7 linked regions of the Mus musculus genome follow. The protein of the gene in region 4 interacts with the protein of the main gene of each other region in a pairwise test. Links are inferred from orthologs where the notes say so. Each region holds a gene or a part of one and is shown on either strand. Other genes may lie near its edges.

Region 1 (2,977 bases), on a different chromosome or scaffold from region 4:
GACTTAGAAGGTTATGAGCCACCTTGTAGGTGCTGGGAACTTGAACTTGCATCTTCTGCAAGAGCAGCCAGTGTTCTTACCACTGAGCCATCTGTCTGGCCTCCTGAAAGTCTGGGAGATCAAAATCACAATGAACTGCCACTCACGCTGGGCTGGAGGGGTGGCTTAGTGTTATTCATTTGTTATTCTTGCAGAGGACCAGGGCTCAGTTCCCAGCATTCACATGGTGACTCATAACTACAGTTCCAAAGGAACCAATGTCTTCTGATCTCTATTGGCACCAGGCACATACATACATACAAGCGGGCAAAACACTCATACACATAAAATAAATCTAATAAAATGACAAGTGGTGTCAAGTCCCTTGTGAACAGGGGCTTCTGGTTCAGGTGCGATGCAGGGAGGGACAACCTTTTACCTGCACCTGACCTTCACCTCTGGTCTGGTTCCAGAGGGTCAGGCCAGGCTCACCCTGCCGCTTCAGAAAAAGCACAGAGAGCTGGAGTGAAAATCTACTTTAATAACCAACATCAGCGAAACTGAGATCCTCCCCTCTCAATTGAAGGGGTGGAAGACAACTCTTGGCGAGAGGCCTCAGTCCACTAAGAGGTTCCGGCTTACAGAAGGGAACAGCTCAAAGAAGCCCTAAAATGCGAGGCAGAGGGAACCAGGAATTAGTGAGTGAGCAGACGGCAGTGCCCCACCACGCACCTTCCATCTCCTCCAAGTCTAGTAACAGAAGCACCGAGGCTTCTATGCCTCATGCACTGGCCTGACTCCTCATCCCTCGGCCCTCTCCAGCCAACCACTTTCCTCTGAGGCCTTGAAAACGAGGAATGGTATGGCCGGTGTTAAAGGCTTGGTAGGCACTGTTGGGGTCTGAAGGGAAGAAGTCAGGTCACCCGGGATGAAGCATACCTGTGATGGACACTGAACCCATTTTCTCCCTCCTCTTCCCCACAACTCCCTCTTCCCTGTCGCCTCTCCCGGCAGCAGATTCCTCTAGCACAAGCTCTCGCCATGATATCCTGCTTTATCACTGGCCTCAAGTCAACAGCCAGCTGGCCACAGACTAAAGCCTCCGAAACGCTGACTTCTTATGAACTGCTTACCTCACATGTGTCAGTGATGGAAGCTGACACAGGGGCCGTTTTCTATTTTGTAGTCCACAGCAATCAGCCCCCCGCAGTGACTAGCCACTTACTGGTGGAGCAGAGGGCCAGGTGGGAGTTACCTTGAAAAGGGTGAGGGTCTGGAGAACTCCAGTGGTACAGGCTGTCTCCCGGATAGAGTGCATAGCCAGTTGGGGGCTGCCTAAGTCCAGCACCCGAAGCCCCAGTCGAGAAGCCAAGATAGGTCCAATGGTGGTACCACACGGGGAGTCATTCCTGACCATGAGGTCCTGGTGAGAGGAGGAGAGGTCATAAGCTAAACCCTAGATGCGCTCACTAAGATCAAGGAGGAAGCTACCCTAGAGCCTCAGGGCTGGCAGAGCATCTAGTTCAATGTCTTCTACCTCTTTGTTACTCTCACACACAACGTGAAACCCCAATACACAAAGGAAAACAAACTTAGTAGTTTTAATGTTCTAAAAGTTCCTGCTGGGCTGGGGGTATAGTTCACTTGGTTGAGGGCTTGCCTAGTATAAATGAAGCCCTGGGTTTGATCCCCACCTGGGCAATGGTGGTGCACATTTGTAATCCCAAGACTTGGAGATGGAGGAATCAGGAGCTTAAGGCTATATTCTGCTTCATACTGAGTTTGAAGCTACATAAGACCCTATCTCAAAACAAAACACCAAGGAAGTCCTAATATGGAGCTAGATTTTAAGATCTGTAAGTGTAAAACAGAAATATAAAAGTCAAACTTTTGTCAGGTGAGAATTACAGTATTAACCCATTGTACTGGCTGGTTTGTCTGTCAGTCATCACAGCTACAGTCATCAGAGAGAAAGGAGCCTCAGTTGAGGAAATGCCTCCATGAGATCCAGCTGTAAGGCATTTTCTCTTAGTGATCAATGGGGAAGGGCCCAGACCATTGTGGGTGGTGCCATCCTGGCCTGGTGGTTCAGAGTTCTGTAGGAAAGCAGGCTGAGCAAGCCACGTGAAGCAGGTCAGTAAGCAACACCCTTCCATGGTCTCTATGTCAGTTCTTGCCTTCCGGTTCCAGTCCCGCTTGAGTCCCTGTCCTGCCTTCCTTCAGTGTAAGCTGAATTAACCTTTTCCTGCCCAGCTTGCTTTTTGGTCATGGTGTTTTGTTGCAGCAATAGAAACCCTGACTAAGCAAGGTATCGTTGTGACAGACCTGACCATGTTTTGGGGATAATTGTGGAAGGACTTTGGAACTTTGGGCTAGAAGAGCCAGTGAGTGTTAAGACCTCAGTGGGAAGTTCTGTAGGAGCTTGGAAGATAAGAATGTTGAGAGAGTGCAGAAGATGGAGGCCTGGCTTATGAAACTTCAGAGGGAAGAGTAGACTCTATCAGGGCCATCTGCTATTTTAAGATTCTGTGGTTCTGGTTTGCTGGGACTGATAGTGAAACTTTTACATTACAAGGACAACTGATGCTGGTCAGCTGGAGCTAAGAAATTAGTAGTGATTAGGAAGAGACCATCCCTGAGGTGAAATCTTCTGGGAAGTGTTTTCTGAGAGCACAGGGAAGCTATGTTTCAGAGGTGGCCAAGGTTGTACTTTGTGCTGCAGGCGGACTTGATAATGTGTAAGAGTCACCCAGGTGGTACTGGTTGTGAAGGCATGAAGGGGTCGTGGAGAGCAGCTGAGGCTTGGAACTAAGAGGCACTGAGAGGCCACTGGTGAAGGTGACTGGTGAAGGTGCAGCCTCAGTGGCAGTTGAAGGTTCAGGACTGAAGGGGTCATGCAAAGAAGTTGAGGCCCGGCCCAGCACCAGAAGAGCTTCAGAAGCAAACTGGTCTAGGTGAGTCTCTTCTCCTGTCCCTCTTGCTCTCAACTTGGGCCTTC
Region 2 (3,500 bases), on a different chromosome or scaffold from region 4:
GGCAGGATAACTAGTTTCTGTTTTAAAGGTATAATTATGAATGGAAACATTTACTTTTTTGGATAATTTTGTTCTTATATCTTGTTTGAAATAATAGCAGTCTATTTATTGTCTTGGTTTGGGTTTTGATAGGTTCTTCAGTGGGCAAGAGGCCATATTAAGTATGGAGTTCTTCATATTCATGGTTTGTACACGGACCCCTGTGGGATGGTGCTGGATCCATCGGGCTATAAAGATGTCACTCAAGATCCGGAAGTCATGGTAAGCCTGTTTTCACTAGGCTCTGGGTGCCTCTTCTGGGGTACTAATGGTGGCAGCCAGCCATCTGGCTGTGTTTCCCAGGCATTCTGGTTCTCTGGTTAACTCCCCTTTCACATGGCTGCTGGGGACAGGGCCATCTTTTCCCGTTTGTAGCCACATCTCTAGGCCCTGGTACGGCGCTGCATTCTGAAGAGATGCTCAGTGCACACCTGCTGGAGGAGGACACATGTGCTTCCTTAGAAACCTCTCTCCTGCTGCCAGCACTAGCGCATTGCAGTTTCCTGGCGAGGGACTTGCCTGAGGCTGGTAGTCTCTGGTCTGCAGTTTGCAGTCTGTAGTCTGCTTCTCCTCTGTCCCATTTGTCAGCCCTCCATGTTACTCAGGGCTGTTGTATCTGCAGTTCTCACCTTCCTTACATAGCAGTCTCTCAGGTTAAAACTAGGGCTAAGAATGGAGCCCTGGCCGAGCTCACACCGAGCATGTGCATGTCCTTAGCTCCATGCCAGCACAGCAGACCAACAGCGAGCACCCCATGATACGGAAGCCTTTCTTCACTCTTTTAGGTTTTTTTTTTTTTTTTTTTGAGATAGTGTCTCTCTACAGAGCCCTTCCTTTCCTGGGACTTGCTATGTAGGCCAGGCTGGCCTTGTACTTAAAGAAATCTGCCTGCCTCTGCCTCCTGAGTACTGAGATCAAAGGTATTTGCCACCATGCCAGGTCTTCTTCATTTGTTTGTTTGTTTGTTTGTTTGTTTTGTTTTGTTTTGTGTTTTTCGAGACAGGGTTTCTCTGTATAGCTCTGGCTGTCCTGGAACTCAGAAATCTGCCTGCCTCCCAAGTGCTGGGATTAAAGGCGTGCGCCACCACTGCCTGGCTCTTCTTCATTTTTTAATGAGAGATTTGTGGCTGGGTACTTGTGTCACATGTGTGAGTTCAAGGCCAGCCTGGTTTATAGAGGAGTTCCAGGACAGCCAGGGCACACAGAGAAAGACTGTCTTAAAACACCAAAAAGAGTGCTGGAGAGATTGCTCAGCTTAACAGAACACTGACTACTTTTCCAGAGGTCCTGAGTTCAATTCCCAGTAACCACATGGTGGCTCACAACCATCTGTAATGGGATCTGATGCACACGTCTATTCACGTCTATTGTGTCTGAAGACAGTGACAGTGTACTCATATAAATAAAATAAATTTTAAAAAAAGGAAAAAGAAAGACCAAAAAGAAAGGAAAAAAAAAAAAAAAGATTTGTGAGGGTGTGTGTCAGTTGCCTGCAGAGACCAGAGACATTGGGTCCTTGGATCTGGAGTCACAGTGGTTGAGGTGCCCTCCATGAGTCCTGGAATTGAATAGGTCTCTGGAAGAGCTTCACTTGCTCTTTGTTAACCACTCCACTGAGCATCTTCCCAGCCCTGCCCCAGCAGATGTTCACATGAAGTATGTGCAGTATGTTGCCGACTCTTCTGTCCTAGCATACGCCATACTCCTCCTGCCGTTTCTGAGCGTCTCGTGAAGTCTGTTTGCCTTCAGTATTTTTGACTCTTGGTCTTCCTGCCTCCGCTTCCCAAGTGCCGGGATTTCAGGCATGCGCCACCATATCAGGCTATCTACAAGTCTGACTTGAGTCTGTGTGTTGTGTGGTAGTTCTCTCAGTATCAGGTACGTGTTCCGCAGAGCTCTTCTCTGGCCTCTCTCAGCAGGGATGGCATCAGCAGATGAATGCTGGGCAGTTAGGAGCTGATGCTGCTGAGGCCCTCCTTGAGAGAGTGCTGCTGTTATGGGGCCTTCAGGTCCGAGTCACCGACCACTGCTCCTCTGGGTGACCCTCATAGGCTGCTCTGGGGTTACTGCCTCTACTCCCCTTCACAGCTCTCTTGCCTTCACTCCCTAAAATCTATCTACCCCCTCTTCCTGCGGGATCTGGCTCATCTGTCCACTCATTAGTCTCAGGGTGGTGTTTGTACACAATTTTGAACCAAGAAAAACAGTTTTTTGAGACAAGGTCTCACTATGTAGTCCCAACTGGCCTGGTAATTGCTATGTAGACCAGGCTGGTCTGGAACTCACACAGAGATCCGCCTGCCTCTGCCCCCCTTAGTGTCAGGACCAAAGGTGTATGCTGCCACACCCAGCAGAACTGTTAATGCTCTTCTTTTATGTCTTAATTTAAGATTGTATTTAGCTGGGCAGTGGTGGCGCACGCCTTTAATCCCAGCATCTGGGAGGCAGAGGCACTCGGATTTCTGAGTTCGAGGCCAGCCTGGTCTACAAAGTAAGTTCCAGGACAGCCAGGGCTACACAGAGAAACCATGTCTCAAAAAACCAAAAAAAAAAAAAAAAAAAAAAAAAAGTTTAATGTGTGTGTGTATAAATAAATAAATAAATAAATATCCAGGAGTTGACCTGGGTGAGTTGACCTGGCGAGCCAAGGGTCTATCGTAAGCTGACTTCACTGTGAGGTGCATTCATGCTGCCCAGGTTGGCCAGTATCCTGCCTCTGCTGGTTTTCTTTCTTGTCCTAGTTGAGAGGTAGATCTCAGCTGAGCTTCACCATGCCTTGCACACAGATCACTGCACGGGGTTGCTCTGAGTATGTCAGGAGCCCCTAGTCTCCCTGGTGCGCCTTAGGATGGCTCTTGGGAAGCCTGCTGGGTACAAGATAGGATGTTAAGGAACACGGGGGCCTTTGTGTCAATGAGGAGCTCCTGCTGGGTTTCACTGAGGTGTTCTCTGTTTATTGGCTTTCCCCAGGAAGTCCTGCAAAATCTCTACCGAACCAAGTCATTCCTGTTCGTGGGCTGTGGCGAGACACTTCGGGACCAGATATTCCAGGCGCTCTTCTTGTACTCCGTGCCAAATAAGGTGGACTTGGAGCACTACATGGTAGTGCTCAAGGAAAACGAAGACCATTTCTTTAAGCATCAGGCAGATATGCTTTTGCATGGAATTAAAGTGGTGTCCTACGGGGACTGTTTTGACCTTTTCCCGGGATATGTGCAAGACCTTGCCACTCAGATCTGCAAGCAGCGAAGTCCAGGTGTGGAGCTCTGCCGTCACTTCTCCAAGCAGAATTCCTGGGTTCTTCCTTCAGCTGTTCCTCTGCCCAGTCTATAAGACTTACTAATCTAGTTATTTTTTAGTGCCTCTGAGTTTAAAAGTTGAAAAAGGGGTGATTGGTATAGGTAACAGTCTGTAAGTAGAACTTGAGACTTCTGCTCCAAATGTGGGACACATTGATCTGC
Region 3 (3,500 bases), on a different chromosome or scaffold from region 4:
ACCAGGTGAGAGGTCCCCTCAACTCTACAGCAGGTGTGTTCATGTAGCTTTGTTCGGTCCTATTTGTTTTCCCAAGGGCGTGACAGGGTATGCTTCATTTGGGCCAGATGTTCACCTCAGTGTGCCTGTTCATCCCTGCTAAGAACGAGAAGCAATTATTTGTATGTCCTCCTACCCCGTGTAGCAGCAAGGAGCGGCTGTCGAAATATGGTGGATGACAGAGCTGACACTCTCTGGCAGACGGGCTCGGCGGAAGGGGAGAGACCTTCACTCCAGCTCCTGTGGGCAGGTCCCTTAGTTTCCAAACCAAACTACATCAACAGCTGAAACAGATGGAGCTCCACGTGACGGGTGAGAAGATTCCAAGTTTTATATTCTTTAGATGTTTAGTGTTGTGTTATTAAAAAGTTCCGTGGGACTTCAAGATGAAAGGCTTGGGGAGCCCCTTGTGTGTGTGTGTATGTGTGTGTGTGTGTGTGTGTGTGCACGCACGTGGTGGGGTGTCATCTTCTTCTGGGGCTTTAACGAGACGAAACTCACTGAGGCTTCTGACTCGGTCGGCTATTGATCGAATCAAAGTCAATGACAATCTTGCTGTACTTCGGTGTGAATTTTCTAAAAGTGAAGAACAAAATATGTAAAGGAACTGAATTATCCAATGAGTAGTTAGAGCAATTTGTTTATTTCAGTTTAAACTGTATTTCTAGTGCAGAAGGAAAAAAAATGCCCTGAGATTCTCTTGATATTTTATCTTTATAGGAGCCAATTATAGTGTGCCATACTGAGCGGAACACGGAGCAGAAGAGACTGTGACAGGAACGAGGCATGGGGTGGCTTGGCTTGCGCGTGCTTCAACTATCGGAGTTCATGAATTATCCGAGAGTCAAAGGATTTCTAACAAGTTACCAGCACAACATGATATCCGATTACAGTTTCCCCATTGTATTTATCTTATTTTCTAGGAAATTTCTGCAGCCAATTTGTGCAGCTCTAAAGCAAACACAGTAGATTTTCTTCTGCGTCAGACACACTGAAAGACAACCCGTTGGAGTGAGGGCAGATTTTTTTTAAAATCAAGTTCTACAAATGCAAATAATGAGTCCTCTAAATGTCTGTCTTCAACATGCTACAATAATTGAAGGCACGTGGGGACTTTTTAAAACAAGGAGATCACAGAACACGTCTGCAGCATTCTCTGTGGCCCCCGCTTCCGTTCCTGCCTGCGGGCTTTGCCTTGACTTCCTGCCCTGGCTCCCATGGTGTGAGACTGTACCCCGAAAGTCAAAGAAAGCCTCCTGCCTCAGTTGGTTTCAGTCAGTGTTTTATCAAGGCAAAACTAGGGCACACAGGACATGCAGCATGCAAAAAGCCTGGTTCTAGCTGCGCATGGTGGGTTTTGTCATTTGGGAGACCAGGGCAGGAGGCTACATAGCAGCTTGGGAAAAGCCTGATCATTCAGAGACCCTGCCTCAGAAAACAAAAAACTAAAACATCCCCTGTCTCTAAGAGCACAAGGAACAGGGTTGCCCATTGTACGCGTCGTATCACTGCTGGCCAGAAAGAGTGACAATCCGCAAGGCTTTCCATTCTAAAAACGATTTCTGGCCACTCATAAAAGATGGCAAAGCTTCCCAGTAAAACACAACCTCCACTCTGCAAAGACAATCGCCGAGATCGGAAGGGCCTCTGCTCTTAATTCAAAATGATGCTCAGGAAAGAATTCCTGGTGTCTCACCCTGGCGGGCCGCTTTCATCCTAAACTATCCCTGCTAGAGCCCTTACATATTCAAAAATTCATAAAGGCTCAGCGGTACCAGCCCAAAAGTTGTAAATTTTTAAATTTCTTGCTACTTGCATAATTAGTCTAAGCCTTGGAAAGTCACTAATATTAAAATATAATCATTAAACAGGCTGTCTCCAGATACTTCTGGAGTTAACTCCATACCCTAAAATAATCTTCAGAGGCTCGTGCCATCACACTTCCAAAGACGTTGCCACTCGTGGAAGGCAAAACCCCATGGGAGACACTAAACTTCAGGCTAGGCCACATGCGTGTCCACACCAGTTCCCCCGACCTACCTGAACGTAACCCCAGCCAACTTAAACAGGAGCCTGGCAGCTGTCGTCTCCTCGCTGTCGTGGTATTTATCCGACATGAAGATAACCTCTTTTATACCTGAACAGGTAACCGTGGGAGATGAGCACAGACAGAAACCATGGAAGACAGGCAGAGACGAAGCCCCATGCCTGTGATTAATTACCCTTTTCCAGTGAGCTTACAGTCGATGTCCAGTCACTAAAATGCTCATCTGCCATTTCCCAGGACAGCAGAGGGGGCTGTATTTAAGCCACCTTCCAGTCTTTATGGATTTTTTTTTCATGTTTTTTATTACAAATGCAAATGGAAAACATGTCAAACAGTCGAGCCTTGGTCCAATTAACAAGTTTTTTTTACTTCGGGTAAGGAAGTATTTTCACTCACAAAGCAACTACTTAACTCAAGAGGCTAATGTGGGAGCGGAGGGTGCTGGCTAATCCAGAGATCTGCAGCACCAGGCCTACTCGAGAAAGGCTCTGCCATCACCTTAGCCCAGTTCCAAGAAGGGTAGATCTGCTTCGTGGTCTCCCGAGGCAGCATGAACCTGAGAGTGAGGAGTCCCCAGGCCTTGTCCCGAGGGCTGCTCTGTGTGGGCTCTGTACTCCCTTCAGAGGGGATGAGCCGGCTGACCACAGAGCCCACACACTGCTCGCTGCACGCTCCCACTGCCGACCTCTTCATCTATAACCAGCAAAGGAAGCACCCCGAAAGGACAGGTTAACGGCAGCAGCTGCACGGACACCCAGAGAGTCCTTAACAGCGGCTGTGCTCCGCTAGCAGCCGACTTCTGATCCGACACACCAGGGGCTCGTGATAAACAGTCCCTTTAACCCATATATCTGGCTCAACATGCTAAGTCTTTAAATCTCAAACCGAGAGCTTTATGGAGATAAAGCATAGCTCATTCTTAGATGTGACAGTTCAAAAACAGGTGCAGCAGACAGACTGCAGCATGGCAGGTTATGGGAGATGCAACATATAAGGAAAAACTCAGGATCATGTCTGAGCCTCGTGATATTTATATGCAAAGATATGCTTAGATCCTCACGTATCCACCATGTATTAGATACAAATTAAAATTTGATATACAGACTCCCAGCTGACCTTGTTTCTGACAGAAGTGCATCCCCCTCCCTCCCCCCTAATCTATGCACAATATGTCAGAGGACGGTAAATTGACAGTAATTATATTCAATGCCTGTGTTGTTTTTTGGCAGCTTGCAGTTTAAGAAGTTGCAAACTAAATTAAAAACATGCTAAGAATCACAGAGGATGCAATTAAGTCTCGGAATACCTGGCACCACGCAGACGCAAAACACGAGAAATACCTTGCAAAGTTGATAGGGCAATTAATTTCGATCTAAACAATAACAATGGGAAGATCAAACCCGCCTGCATGCAT
Region 4 (3,500 bases):
CCGTGTGTGTGTGTGTGTGTGTGTGTGTGTGTGTGTGTAGGTACGTGTACACTAAGAATACTAGTCTAGCCAATGTGCCAGCTTCAGTCTAAGATGCTTTTTAAGGGCCCTCAAGATGGGTCAGTGGCTCAAGGCACTTGCTGAATTCCAGTCTAGGACCCTCATGGTGAATGGAGAAAACCAACCCTTGCAAGTTGTCCTTTGACAGTCACATGAGTCACATGCACTGTGGCACGTGAGTACATGTGTATGTAGGTGTGCACAGCCACCTCCACCCACACACTATAAATAAATTAGTATAGAAAAATCAAAACAGGGGCTAGAGAGATGGCTCAGTGGTTAAGAGCATTGAATCCTCTTTCAGAGGTCCTGAGTTCAATTCCCAGCAACCACATGGTGGCTCACAACCATCTGTAATGGAATCTGATGCCCTATTCTGGTGTGGCTGAAGACAGCTATAGTGTATTCATTCATTCATATATATATATATATATATATATATATATATATATATATATATAATTCTTTAAAAAAAGAAAATCAAAACAATAGGCAAAACAAAGGCACTAACTTGCTGTCAGTTTATATAGAACTCGCAGTGTCTGTGGCTTTTTCTGTTTTAGCAGAAGCCTGTGCACAGTGCCATTGGGTGAGAATGAAGTAAAATGCTTTTCACACTCTAACTATAATCATTATTTTCATGTGCATTAAGCCAGCACCTGGAGCCCAGGAACAGACGAATTTTTCCTCACCTGTGTAAAAAGACAACAAAGAAACCAAGAGTCCCTGTCCTTACTCAAATGAGGAGGTCACTCAAGGCTATGTACCCTTGGAAAGACAGAGGTCACAGAGGGTGGACATTGGTCAGGCTACCACCATCCCTCAAGTGACTCTGGCAAACTAGCCTACAGCCAGCCTCGGGGTGCAGTGGAGATTCCCTTTACCTTCGGGGACAGTGGTGTTCTCAGAGTTGTCCCTGCCCTGGTCAACATGGTTGGCAACGACACTCCCGCTCTTCGTCCTCCGGAGAGCACTTAGAGCTCGGTTGATCTTCTTGAAAGACCGGCTTCTCATAGTGGAGCGCTCAAAGGGCCGTGCTGAGGAGAGAGAGAGAGAGAGATCAATGGAGATGAGAGGCACAGGCTCACCGCAACCATCTGCTAGCTAAGCGTGCTGCTGTGTGCCTGTGATCTCAGCACTCAGGAGGTAGCCAGGAAGCTCAGGAGGCCAGAGCCAGCCCTGGTGCAGAGTGAGGTGTTGCTTCAAAACAAGCAAAAAAGAAATCTTTTCGGTCTAAAGCGTATGAACTGGGACATTGGGATATTAAAACAGTGATCACTATTTACCTGTAGTTCTAAATTTTTTATGTAGTAAAATAACATATCTCACTATTTAAAAAAAAAAAAATCTCTTCTCCCCCTTGGATGGGAGTGGATAGAACATTACTTTCCAAAGAAGGCAGGGGAGGTACCCTCTCTATAGGAACTGTAAATCATCAGACCTCACCTCACCCTCCATTACCAAGTCAGATCACATGGTCACTTAAACTTTCATTTCCTGTTGGAGAACTGGACATTGAGTGTCGGCCAAAACTACCAGAACCATTTCCCCTTTAAAAAAACATTTTGAGAACTTTCCACCACGGGTATTCTACAGAGGGCAATCCCAGGGAAAACCACGGGCCCATTCCCAGACACCGTCCCATTTTTGACTCACCCCTAGTCCGGTTGCTCCGGCCAGAGTCTGAGGAGTTGGCTACTGGCTCACCATCCTCCACCGAGGACACGTAGGCAGGGTTGTCTAGGCCAGGCTCATCTGTCATTAAAGAGATGGTGGCGGCTGCAGAAACCTCTGGGGAGAGCGTCGTTGCCATGAGGCTGGCGCAACCATCAGGACAGCCATCTTGAGAGCGCCTTTTCCTGTCCTTGGTCAGGCCATAGTGGGAGGCCCCTTTGCAGCTGGAATAAAACCAGAGGGGCACTTAGAATGTTTAGTCAGAACTTCCCCAATCAATACACATGCTTGTCCATGTACACCCCTCCCTTTCACATATAAGAATTCAATATATGCTGGCCGGCCAAATACATTAATGACTTGAGAAATAATTTGTTTTTAATTGCCTGTTATATTCTCCTAGCATATAATCTCTACTGTCAAGCAGTAGGAAATCACATCTACCTGACTGGGGTTGAGGACGGGGATCTCTAACATTTGGACTTGGTGACTGTTTATTTTGACTACCAAAACCCCTAATCACATTCTCACCCCTTTCTTTTGGGTTAGATCCCACAGCATTGGACATAAATACTCAAGGCCACTCCCAGATCCTGTATTTAGCCGACCATGGAAACAGAATCGCACTCGCCACAAAGCCACAAGGTTTACTCGGAACTGCTAGTCTCTAGGGGGCGGGTGTGATGGCTTCCATTCCTGTTGCTAGGTTGGTCTGGTAGCGCCTTGCATGCTCTTCAGAGGAGTCAATGCCAGGAGCTCTCACACACTGAAAGATGTCACATCTCACAGCATCGGGGGAGAAAAACATCTTTGATTTTTTTTTTTATTGACAACAGAGATCTTTCTGTCCATCTCTCTATCCATTTTATTCACTGCATTTTCCCAAAACCCAAACACTGTAAAGTAGACCATCATTGGCACATTAGGGAGAGGGAGGAATGCCCAGGGCTCTGAAGACCAGCGTTTGAGCCTATCTGGATCCTTAGTTTTACGAACATGTTTCCTTGCCACTGGGCCAATCATTTCAGCTCGCTGACAACGGTCTGGTCAGAAACTGGTGATGATTTAGCTAACACACTGTTCTGCTGGAGAGGGTGTCAGATGACACAGCTGCTGATCCGGCAGAAGTCATTCTAAAGAACTCCTCTGAGTGGCATTGGCCTGACACAGGGCTACTGATTATGTTAGTCTTCTCCGTTTATCACACAAACCCTGGACGACATTGTCGTGGGGGTTGCCTCAGACCATCAGAAAATGCAGGTATGTATACTATGATTCATAACAGCAGCAAAATTACAACTATGAAGTAAGAATAAAACTAATTTAGTGGGGCGGGAGGTGACCACAACATGAGGCACTGTACTAAAGGGTCGCAGCCTTAGGAAGGCTGAGAACCACTGCCTTGTATGATTGAAGTCTTTATTTTTCTACTTATTTACCGTCCTTTTCTATACTTATTATTTGTGGGTGTGTGAGTGTGAGTATGTGTGTGTATACACACACATACATAGGAGGAGCTCACAAAGAAGTCAGGGAACAAGTTGTGGGAGTCAGGTCTCTCCCGCCACGAGGGTTCTAGGCATCAAACTCTGCCCTCAAGCTTGTCAGCCCTCAACCACTGAGCCATCGCTCTGGCTCTTTTTTTATTTATTCTTTTTTTTTTTTTTAAGAAAGAGCACAGTAATCATGTTGTAACTGAACTACTTAAAATAAACATTTATTTATTTATTTATTTATTTATTTACTTATTTATTCATTCATTCTTT
Region 5 (3,495 bases), on a different chromosome or scaffold from region 4:
TCTCATGATTAACACGCTCCTTCCTGTAGCTTTCAAGCAACAGAATCACATCGACTCTGAAAGCGGTGACGACAATGAAATAAGCAGATGATGGGCACACCCTCCCCAAGCCTTTCTGAGCCTTCTTTCTGATTGATTTCTCAGGATGGGACTTACCTGTCATAACACACACTTGCAGCTACCACAATTCCTGAGGGGGAAATGGTGGGAGTCACTTTGTCCTCACGCACAGCACAAACTGGAATGAGTCACATCCATAGCTGTGACAATTGAAAACTGTAATATTCACTGTAAACCCGATCTGAAAACAGGGTTGCACTCTTTAGACAAACCCGCTTATCTCTGGTTACACAGCTGGCTTTATAAAGTACAATCTAATGTCCCACAGAGTCCTGTCAACCCTATCACAAATGTGCTATAAGCACTTTAATTGGGACATAAAGGATGCATACTTTCAATGAAGAATATGATTTTCCCCTTATATAGCAATAAATACAACCTTTAATATTCATATTCCATTTTTTATTAGATTTTTCTTTCCTGGTAGACAGTACCTTGGGAATGAAACTGTACCAGGCATAAGGTTTCTACCACAGGGACATTTTGTATTGAGAATCCAATATAAATATTTCTAGTCAGACATTTCCATGGCTACAGATATTTGGTTGCTTGATTTATATGCATAGAAAGAAACAGTTGTCAAAACTGTAGAAAGCAGTCCTTAACAAGTACCCTCAGATGACTGGGCCAGTCTTCCTTTAACACCACAATACTGCCTACTGGTCTGGAAACTAGGTCGCCCTACATGATATTCTGATTTTTCTCAAAGACATCATGAATACCCTCTTTAATCTTTTATTCCTGTTTTTAGCCTTCCAGTCGAGTCAGGAACCACGTTCTCAGAAATCATTTTATCACTGTTAAGGGTAGATTATATACCATAATGATTTTCAGATCTCTTTTTATAAAAAAGGTTTCTAGAGACTCGGAACAGGCACATGCATACTTGGGAACAAAACAGGGAGGAGACTGCTCACACACAAAACTTCCTTCTGGTCCTCAATGCCTTCAAATAAATACAAAGACTGAATCAAAAAATTAAAAAAAAAAAGAGGGCCCACACTAAAACCCAACAACAGTCTCTTCCATGTCCCAAAACGTGAGCTTGCAGGAAGTTCTCTGAGGGCTGGCCAGCAGTCAGTCGTCCGTCTTGCGGGCCAGTCTACAGAAAGTCCAGTTGTGCTCTACTGTGTTCTCATTGGCCCGCTCGCTCATGTGATGCACCCGAGTATTGCGGATCGTGAAACCTTGCTTCGTGATGTACTCCATCAGATGGACCCGGAGAGAGACTTCCTGGTGGTAATCGCACGGTCCAAAGGTGAAGGAGACCTGGCAGTCTCTGGTGTCCATCATGTGCTTATTCCACTTGGTGAAATAGTTTGAGATGCCTTCGAGTAAGGAGTGGACCTTTGTGGTGATGGTTAACTGGGTGATGATGACGGCCACCGGATTGGAATATTTAGAAAGCTTCCGAGTGCTAGACAGCTCTACGACTTCTTCAAAAGTATCCATAGGATACAGAGGCCTGGGGTCATTGAGACACTGAATCAAGGGTTCGATCTGGTAGAAATCAGCCTCTTTCCGAAGCAGATCAAACTCCTTAAAGTCCAGGGGGAGTGTCAGTTCTGAAGTCCGTAGGAAGTTAAGGACATAGCGGAAGAGCGGTCCGTCTCGATCAATGAAGTAATTGCCTTGAGGGTCTCGGGCTGTGGGGAAGTCACCCCCAAACATAGCTCCAAGCATAGAATCCGGGTAGCGTGTCAACGTGGTAAGCGATGTCGTGTACAAGTGTCCACCTACATTTAATGTGACTGGGTCACTCATCTGCAATTTTTAAAAATCCAATTAATTACCTGAAACCTTAAAATCTTAACTAACAAATTAAGAAAATCAGTATTAACAAGCAAAGCATAACACCCTTTCAAGCTAATATATCTGGCAGCACAAGGGGACTAAACGGCTTTACTTCCAATGATAAAACCCACCCAAGAGAAGGGCTTCAATATTTGGTTTCAAACAGAATAAATCCAATCCTTCAAAAGTTTCCTATAAGTCTACCAGGTGTGACCTTTAGTGTCATACAGTGAAGTCCAGCATCTGAAGAGCTTTTTGGGTCAATCTGCCTGCTTCTACTTCCCTAGTGCTGGGATTAAAGGTGTGTGCCACCACCCTTGGCAAAACCGTCAGTTTTTAAAAATTTAACATAAGCTAGAATATAAAAATAATCTGATAATGTAACAATAATTAATTTAGGAATTGTGTTGGGTTTTTCTCCTCAAAGGAGTCAGAAGATCTAACTTTTTTTTTTTTTTTTTGAGACAGTGTTTCACATAACTTAGGCTGGCCTCACACTCATTGTGTAGCTAAGGATGGTCTAGAATTCCTGATTCTCCTGCCTCTGTCCCACTGCTAGGACAGTGCTAAGACCACAGGTGTATACTGTCACACCCAGCTGTGGAAAATATACATATATACATATATATATATATATGTGTGTGTGTGTGTGTGTAGATATATATATATATATTCATGTCTCTTATATGAGTGTGCTGCCTGTGTGCACGTGTGTGTACCTCATTTGTACCAAGGGTATGGCTCTAGGAACTGAGAGTTAGGGACGGTTGTGAGGCATTGAGTAGGAGCTAGGAACCAAACCCAGGTCCTCTGTAAGAGCGTAAGTGCTCTTAACTGCTGACCCCTGTCTCCACACCCAAATGTATTTTAGAAACAAAAATTTGTTTAAAATCAATCTGAGTAATTTTTTTCTGGAAGCAACAGTTTCTTCTTTTCTGGCTGCTGTTGTTGCAGTTGTTGTTGTGACAGCATCTTACTATATAGATAAAGCAGGCTAGAAACACACACCTCCTGCCTATCCCCGGTGCTGTATTACAGGCCTGTGTCACCACGCCCAGGGACTAAGTTGTAAACACTAGATTAAAAAATACATGGTTTGGTGAACCCAATCTAGCTCATCTTCTAGCCCCAAACAAACTACCACATGTCAAAGGGCTGGGAGCAGCTTTAAACTGTCATATCTGACTGTGTATTCATTTTTACAACATTCAGGTTGTAATCTGACCTTTAATTCTGAGAAGCAAGCTTCTCAAAATAACATACCTTCAGCTTTAGAAACCCTATTTAAGAAAAAACAAGGAATGGCCTTCAGGTACTAAGAAAGTAAAATATGTCTTACCAGATAAAGAAGAAAACAGGGAGGCATGGACCCATGTGAGGAGAAACACTGTCTAACTAGTAATCCCTTTACTACAATGAAGAAGTCTTCATTCCATTATCCATAGGCCCTTTAAGCATCACCATCCCATGAAAAGAGAATTTAAAAAGCAATATACAGCAAAGACTGAAACATCGTGGTGTATCTGAAATTAGTGATTGCCAATAGTTACTAGGGGAGCAGGAGAGATGTCAGGAGTTAAA
Region 6 (4,194 bases), on a different chromosome or scaffold from region 4:
GTGCCCGGCGCCTGCATCCTGCCACCCTCCAAAAAGAGGTGCTCCCTCCCTAAAATGCAGCCCCATCATCCCCCTCTTTATTTCATTTCCTGAGACTACTGGCTGAGCTGACTGTTTTCATCGCCACCACTGAGATGTGAGCTCCGGGGCGGTAGGGAATCTGTCTTGTATTGTATCTTCAGCATTCAATGCTGCAGTACCTGGCACAGAGCTCAGAAACCACTGTACTGATTACAAACAAAAGAAAAACAAAAAGCTAGGCTCAGTCTGGAACTTGACCACCTTTCTCTAGATGTTCTTTCTGCTGCCGAGCAGAGCCAGAGCTAGGGGGCCTCACTGACCTTCACCGTGCAGATCAGCACGCGGCCGGGGGCCACCATGTTGAGGAACAGCACCATGGCCTCATCCTCATGAGGAGAGTATGTGTCAAACACGCGCTTTGCCATCACGTGGCCCTGGCAGGAGCAAACCCTCTTATGAGACGGGGTCATCAGCAAAGCAAGCCCAGCTTCGGCCCTCGGGCTCTCCCATCCTTAAGCTCACCGTGGCCTGGTTGAGGACTATGACATGGATGCCTCGGCCCTGCTCCCGGGCTTCATCCTCGAGCACCTACACAGCGGCAGAAACAGAATCCAGCTATTCACCCTGGCGCTCACGGTGACTCCATCTTAGAAGCAGGAACCACAGCAGCCTGCTCTATTATCACTGTCTACGGTTCTAACTCAGACAGAAGGCTGACTCTCCCAGAAAGCCCCCATGGTACCCTCATCGGCAAAGGTTTCGTCGCTTTACCATCCACCTTTTAACACTTCCCTGGCACCAAGAGCCCTGGACTGTCTCTGCTAACTCTCTACCAGTGAGCCTCTCTGGGAAGGGCAAGTCCCATTACCTCTAGGACCCCAGTGGCTGGCCCAAGGCTGAAGCCAAAGGGATTAGGAAGTGGTTACATAATAAGTAAATAAGGGAGTTAGCTGCCCGCTAACGCCCCTGATCACTGCCAAGCCTTCGCCACATAGACATTTCATAGACCATTTACTTAATCCTAATAAGTCCAAGCCAATAGGCAGAGGGTGACGGTTCCCACCGTGCTCTGAATGGACTGAAGATGCTGGTCCAACTCACCGTGGTGCCATCCACAGCCACATACACTTTGCTTCTACTGGAGTATACTTCCACATCCAGCACCCGTCGGGGACTGCTGCCTCTGCGCCGAGGGGACTCCAGACGTCCTAGGGCCTCATCTGGAGAGGGAATTGTAACAGGCGTGGGCGATGACTCACTAGCAGAGTCACACCCTGTGGGATGTGCACGCCATTCCTGCCATGAGACCCCAGGTCCCGTCCCGTCCCCCGCCCCCCTCCCGCACCCTCAGCTGGTCCCCACCATAGTCTTGCTCTGGTTCTGGGTCTTCATTGGCCTCGCTGATTGCTCTCCGAGTGTCCAGGATCAACTTGATGTTGACAATGACGGTCACCAGCAGGAAAAGCACAGCCCCTGTCTGAGTAGGAAAATGGGGGTGACTGCAGCCAGCCCTCTCCAGATCACAAGGGCCTTCTGAAAGTATGACCTTGGCTGAAGAGGACACAGGGACCAGTCTCTCCACTTTCTGGTTCCCAATAAGGACACGGATTTGTGGCCATCTCCCAGAGAATGTTCCCTGGCAGGTTTCCCTCCACCAACCAGGTCCTTCCTACCCCGTGGTCTTGTATTTTCCCATTTGAGTCCTTGACTTCCTTGGTCCCCTCCATAACTAGTTCCTTGAGATGGATTTAGGACCCGAGAACCACAGCGGAGAGCCAGAGACACAGAAGAACGTGGGCCACACTGCCTGACAGTTGGGTGTCAGGGGCAAAGCCTGCCTGACCAGACTTCTGGTTTCTGTTGGATGCCGAGGTCAGACTAGGGTTCTGATTCCAGAATCCTGGCTCTAAACCACTGCCTGAGAAGGCTGTAACAGACAGAGGTTTCCCCTCCAGGAATTTGCTGCCTCTTCTTGATAGCCAAGGTAGTTAGTTCCTAGTCTGTTAGAGTAAAGTTAGGGAGCAGCTTTTGGGACACGTGGGACCTCATTTACCTGACAGAATCTCCTCAGGGCCCGCTGGTTTGTCAGTTTATACTTCCAGGTAAGGTACCAGCTCCGTTTCTTCCTAGCCCCAAAGGGCTTGATGAGGGGACTGGGCTTCCAGTCATCCATACTGGATTAGGGAGTCACCCCTGTCCCGGCCAGTCCATGACTTCAGGAATCTGAGGGGACTATATATAGAGTCACATAGAGTAAGATGCTTGTCCCAAAGCTTAATGCCTTCTGGAATGACTTCTCTCAGCAAACTGCTGAGCTGTGTGCCCTAGGCAACGTGGCTTAACTTCTCTGGGTCTGGCCAGAAAATCTTTGGAGGAGTTGGATCACCTGAAAATTCCCTGGGGCTAGAGGAACTGTGTGCAGGATCAGGGCCTTAGCGGCGGAGGCCAGTAACTCAATCAACTCTTAACGATTCATCAGTCCTTAAAAGGTCCAAATCCCAGTCCTTCCCAGCCCTGGGGTAGAACAGTAACAGCGACCTCCTGCACCCCAATCCTCCACCCTCGTCTCTTCCCATCTGGCTCAACTCCTCTCCTCTCAGGGATCAGGGACGCCGGAAGGTTCAGAAGACCCACCCAGCCCGCATCACCCCTCTGAGACCCGCACTGGGAGGCACTTACGGCTCAGGGGCCCCGGGCCCCGCTCGGGCCGCGCTCGGGCCCGCACAGCTCGGCCCCGCGCGCCGCGGCCTCCGCGGCCTCCGCCTCCTCCATGCCTCTCGCGCCCCGCCCCGGCCCGGCCGGCCCGCCCCGCCGCTTCCGCCGCCGCCGCCGCCGCGGGGTGAGAGGGCGGCGGGCGGCGCTTAGGGCGGCGGCCGCGGCCGGGCGTCTGCAGCGCGAGGGGAGCCGGCGTACTCTGCCTGTCTGGCAGGGTTACGGTCCGCACGAGTGGACCTCGGGCGAGAGCACATCCCCGCACCGCGGAGCCGGAGCAAGCGGCATTCCGGGACCTCGGGCCAGCTCACTGGGCAAGCCAGGATCAGAGGGCTGCAGCTCCGAGGCCTGGCCCAGCCCCGCAAGGCTGTTTCCAGGCCGGGGAGGAGAGGATTAGAAACCTGCTCCGCTACTATTTTGAGCGCTTACGTTAACTCGATTTCATAAACCATGATTAAGAGGCACCGTGACTACCCCATCTTTAAAGAAAACCAAAAATGCTCTTTGATTGTGTGCATGTGCAGGTAGTGCGGGCGCTCCTTGAAGAGACTAGACCTCAGTCTGATACCCCTGGAGCCCAAATTAAAGTTGTGATCCCAACCGCTCCTCTAGAAGAGCACCAGGTGTGCTTAACCACTGAGCCATCTCCAGCTCCTGATTAGTTCTTTTCTGAGGAAGCAGGAGCTTACCTATCTCCTTATAGCCCTAGCTATCCTGGAACTCCTTATGTAGACCCGGCTGAACTTGAACTCACAGAAATTCACCTGTCTCTGCCTCCTAAATGCTAGGATTAAAGGAGTGTACAACATGCCCAGCAACACTTTATTTATTTACACTTTTTTTTTTTTGAGGACTCCAAAAGTGTTGGCATCTTTCGATATGATAGCAGTGCTTGCCAGGTTGGAAGTGGTGTTGCATTCCTATATAGGTGAGGGAAGGCTGTGTGAGGCAAGTCCACTTTCATAACAAGATGCTAAGACCCACAGTAGCTCACTCCTGGGTTCCCAGCACTTAGGAACTGAGGAAGGAGGATTGCCATAGATTCAAGGTCAACTTGGTCTACAACATGAGTTCTAGAACAAGTCAGGATTTTGAAGTGCAACCTGCTCTGAGAAACAAAAAATGTTTTGGTTTTTTACATGTTCTTTATACTGAAGTTTTTCTTATTTAAACATCAAAAAAAGCAGGGGCTGGAGAGATGGCTCAGTGGTTAAGAGCACTGACTGCTCTACCAGAGATCCTGGGTTCAATTCCCAGCAACCACATGGTGGCTCACAACCATCTGTAATGGGATCTGATGCCCTCTTCTGGTGTGTCTGAAGATAGTGACAATGACATTGTACTCACATATATAAAATAAGTCTTTTTAAAAAAATCAAGTCAGCAGAAGTTCTCACATTAGCCTCTGACCCTCTTCTGTCGTCAGGTTTACTGTCCATGATCTTGTCTTCTCATGATCCT
Region 7 (2,421 bases), on a different chromosome or scaffold from region 4:
TAGGGCTACTCCAGCACCTGGGGAAAAGAGAGCATCAGCACATGAATGGCAGTAAGCCTAGCATCTGAACCCAGTAACAAACACGGCCGCTAACGGCTGCACTGTGGAGATGAGGGATGCACACATGTCAAAGCACTACAACAGTGTAATACAGCAAATGTCAGTGTGTGCATTGGTCAACCCTTAGGTTAGGGCCTGAAATTCTAGCAGAAGACTGACATGGGTCTCATCTCTGCTGTCACTAACTCACAGTCTATCTCTCTTCTGTGTTAGAGACAATGAGAGGAACCAAGGCCATGGCTCTGCTGTGATCTCTGTCCAGAGGCAGTTACATCACAGCCTATTCAACTAAGAGTTCTCAGCTGTTAGAGTTAGATGTACCTCTATGATAGAGTACTTGCCTAGTATATGCAAAGCCCTGCGTGCAGTATTCAGAATTTAAAAAAAATTATTTTTAGGCATTAGAGATTTTATCTAATACTTATTGCCATTTATTATCAGGTATATGTCACATGTGTGCAATCCTGGGATTACTTGGAGTCTAAAGTTAATGTGAGCTATATACTACATACAGTGAGATCTTAGATTAAAAAAAAAAAATCACCAATGAGTGTAGTGGTATAACTTGAAGCCAGAAGCAGGAGGATCACCTCATAGCAACTTGTACACTGGCCAGGACTGCACAGTAGGACCCTCAAAACAAAGTCCAGCCAGGTTTGTCAGTGCACGCCTTTAATCCCAGCACTCAGGAGGCAGAAGCAGGTATAGGTGCATCTCTGTAAGCTCAAGGCCAGCCTGGTCTACAGAGTGAGTTCCAGGACAGCCGGGGCTGCACAGGCAAACCCTGTCTTTAAAACAGCAAGACATCAACATCCAAAGAGTACAAAAAGCAAAGACATAGACCTCAACAGGTCTGTGTACAAAAATATTTATTTAACATGTACTGCACACACAAAATGAGGCTAGTGGTCAAACTACAAGAATAGAAAAAAGTACTAAAGAATAAGGAATCGCTGTCCTCAAATGGACAATCTAGCTCAAAGTTTAACCTACCTTCCTTCATCCTAATGTTGTAGGGAAGGCAGAGGTGGAGGAGACTGGACTGTGACTCACATTCACAATGGGTCTACAGTGAAATAAGAACTACAGTTCTGTCCTACTGATACCACACCCAGTAATTAAACCATCACTTCATAGGTTTGGTCTTACCAGAACGCTTGGTGGCCATAGGCGTAACGTTAGTCCAGTGTCCTGTATGGGGATCATATTTCTCAACTGAATTTAATATGTTCAAGCCATCATATCCTCCTGAAAGACAAAGTGGAGAACATTCCAAAGAGAAAGGTAGATTACCAGGCTCATCTTAGTTGGCCTTCTGTGAGTAATTCAACTGATTATTTATTTATTATATGTAAGTACACTGTAGCTGTCTTCAGACACCCCAGAAGAGAGGGCATCAGATCTCATTACAGATGGCTGTGAGCCACCATGTGGTTGCTGGGATTTGAACTCAGAACCTTTGGAAGAGCAGTCAGTGCTCTTAACTGCTGAGCCATCTCTCTAGCCCTAATTCAACTGATTCTTTCAGTTCTATTTTTTCCAGAGGTCCAGGTCAGAGAATATGCAACATCCTACATATTGCTTACAAGAAAAATATAATCCTATTCATGGACAATATATTGAGAAAAGTCAGAGTTTTTGTTGATGCAAGTATATGCACTTAATTCTGCCCTCCAGAGTCTGTAACCACTAAGCTCTCTCCAGCCCCATCCCAGGCTCATACCTAGACAATAGATTATTCCGCTGGCCACTACTAGTCCTGCGCCCTCTCGAGCTGTCTGCATATCTCCCAGCATACTCCACTGATCGATGTTTGGGTCATACCGCTCCATACTTGTATGACGCCTACTTCCATCAAAGCCTCCAGAGACGTAAATCATATCTGCTCAGAGTGAACAAATTATAGACTGTTAAATTAAGAATGAAAAATACCTAACAACTTTTATCTCTACAAATTACCCATTGTTAAGATGGGGGAAGAGGGACTGCACACATGAATGTAATTACAACACTTGGGAGGTTCAGAAGGAGGTTCAGGAGTTCAAGGCCATTCCTGGCTACAGACTAAGTTAAGCCTTAGCTATTTCAGAACTCATCCCAGGCAAACAAATTATTATATTTCTTCAAGTTGATTTTTATTATTCTTAAATTTCCCATGGTGTATATTAATTATATATGGTAGTGTATAATACTACATAAGCACATTCTTGTAAATGTATATTTTGTATATATTTTCTGAGACTTACGTGACTTAAATGGTAAGTCATGTAAGTCTCAGAAGGAAGAAAGGCAGTACAAACAAGCATTTAAAGCCCATGCTGGTAAGCCCAAGTTTGAAACAAGGGTGAGTTACACGGGGAA

The links.
Region 1: the proteins of Lnx1 (region 4) and Dnpep interact in a two-hybrid assay, tested with the Homo sapiens proteins (3 studies listed by BioGRID and IntAct). The link is inferred for Mus musculus from reciprocal best matches to the Homo sapiens genes LNX1 and DNPEP.
Region 2: the proteins of Lnx1 (region 4) and Fam118a interact in binary tests that used the Homo sapiens proteins (3 or more experiments, as listed by UniProt). The link is inferred for Mus musculus from reciprocal best matches to the Homo sapiens genes LNX1 and FAM118A.
Region 3: the proteins of Lnx1 (region 4) and Dctd interact in a two-hybrid assay, tested with the Homo sapiens proteins (2 studies listed by BioGRID and IntAct). The link is inferred for Mus musculus from reciprocal best matches to the Homo sapiens genes LNX1 and DCTD.
Region 5: the proteins of Lnx1 (region 4) and Kctd6 interact in binary tests that used the Homo sapiens proteins (3 or more experiments, as listed by UniProt). The link is inferred for Mus musculus from reciprocal best matches to the Homo sapiens genes LNX1 and KCTD6.
Region 6: the proteins of Lnx1 (region 4) and Pomgnt1 interact in binary tests that used the Homo sapiens proteins (3 or more experiments, as listed by UniProt). The link is inferred for Mus musculus from reciprocal best matches to the Homo sapiens genes LNX1 and POMGNT1.
Region 7: the proteins of Lnx1 (region 4) and Klhl12 interact in binary tests that used the Homo sapiens proteins (3 or more experiments, as listed by UniProt). The two-hybrid records come from large-scale screens. The link is inferred for Mus musculus from reciprocal best matches to the Homo sapiens genes LNX1 and KLHL12.

The regions. Positions count from the first base shown.
Region 1 is NC_000067.6:75,308,065-75,311,041, forward strand, and holds the end of Dnpep (aspartyl aminopeptidase), read right to left. Parts: intron 1,403-2,977; coding exon 1,235-1,402; intron 646-1,234; coding exon 595-645; 3' UTR 501-594; downstream 1-500.
Region 2 is NC_000081.6:85,050,562-85,054,061, forward strand, and holds part of Fam118a (protein FAM118A), read left to right. Parts: intron 1-132; coding exon 133-261; intron 262-3,009; coding exon 3,010-3,295; intron 3,296-3,500.
Region 3 is NC_000074.6:48,137,458-48,140,957, reverse strand, and holds part of Dctd (deoxycytidylate deaminase), read right to left. Parts: intron 2,780-3,500; exon of another isoform or gene 2,177-2,779; coding exon 2,080-2,176; intron 616-2,079; coding exon 537-615; 3' UTR 1-536. UniProt on the Homo sapiens protein: Catalyzes the deamination of dCMP to dUMP, providing the nucleoside monophosphate substrate for the thymidylate synthase/TYMS.
Region 4 is NC_000071.6:74,626,404-74,629,903, forward strand, and holds part of Lnx1 (E3 ubiquitin-protein ligase LNX), read right to left. Parts: intron 1,959-3,500; coding exon 1,717-1,958; intron 1,098-1,716; coding exon 945-1,097; intron 1-944.
Region 5 is NC_000080.6:8,220,576-8,224,070, reverse strand, and holds the end of Kctd6 (BTB/POZ domain-containing protein KCTD6), read right to left. Parts: intron 1,885-3,495; coding exon 1,198-1,884; 3' UTR 501-1,197; downstream 1-500. UniProt on the Homo sapiens protein: Probable substrate-specific adapter of a BCR (BTB-CUL3-RBX1) E3 ubiquitin-protein ligase complex mediating the ubiquitination and subsequent proteasomal degradation of target proteins.
Region 6 is NC_000070.6:116,149,124-116,153,317, reverse strand, and holds the start of Pomgnt1 (protein O-linked-mannose beta-1,2-N-acetylglucosaminyltransferase 1), read right to left. Parts: upstream 2,801-4,194; 5' UTR 2,701-2,800; intron 2,254-2,700; 5' UTR 2,195-2,253; coding exon 2,075-2,194; intron 1,888-2,074; exon of another isoform or gene 1,749-1,887; coding exon of another isoform or gene 1,695-1,748; intron 1,499-1,694; coding exon 1,384-1,498; intron 1,242-1,383; coding exon 1,123-1,241; intron 610-1,122; coding exon 544-609; intron 456-543; coding exon 342-455; intron 1-341. UniProt on the Homo sapiens protein: Participates in O-mannosyl glycosylation by catalyzing the addition of N-acetylglucosamine to O-linked mannose on glycoproteins.
Region 7 is NC_000067.6:134,486,531-134,488,951, reverse strand, and holds part of Klhl12 (kelch-like protein 12), read right to left. Parts: intron 1,943-2,421; coding exon 1,784-1,942; intron 1,309-1,783; coding exon 1,210-1,308; intron 18-1,209; coding exon 1-17. UniProt on the Homo sapiens protein: Substrate-specific adapter of a BCR (BTB-CUL3-RBX1) E3 ubiquitin ligase complex that acts as a negative regulator of Wnt signaling pathway and ER-Golgi transport.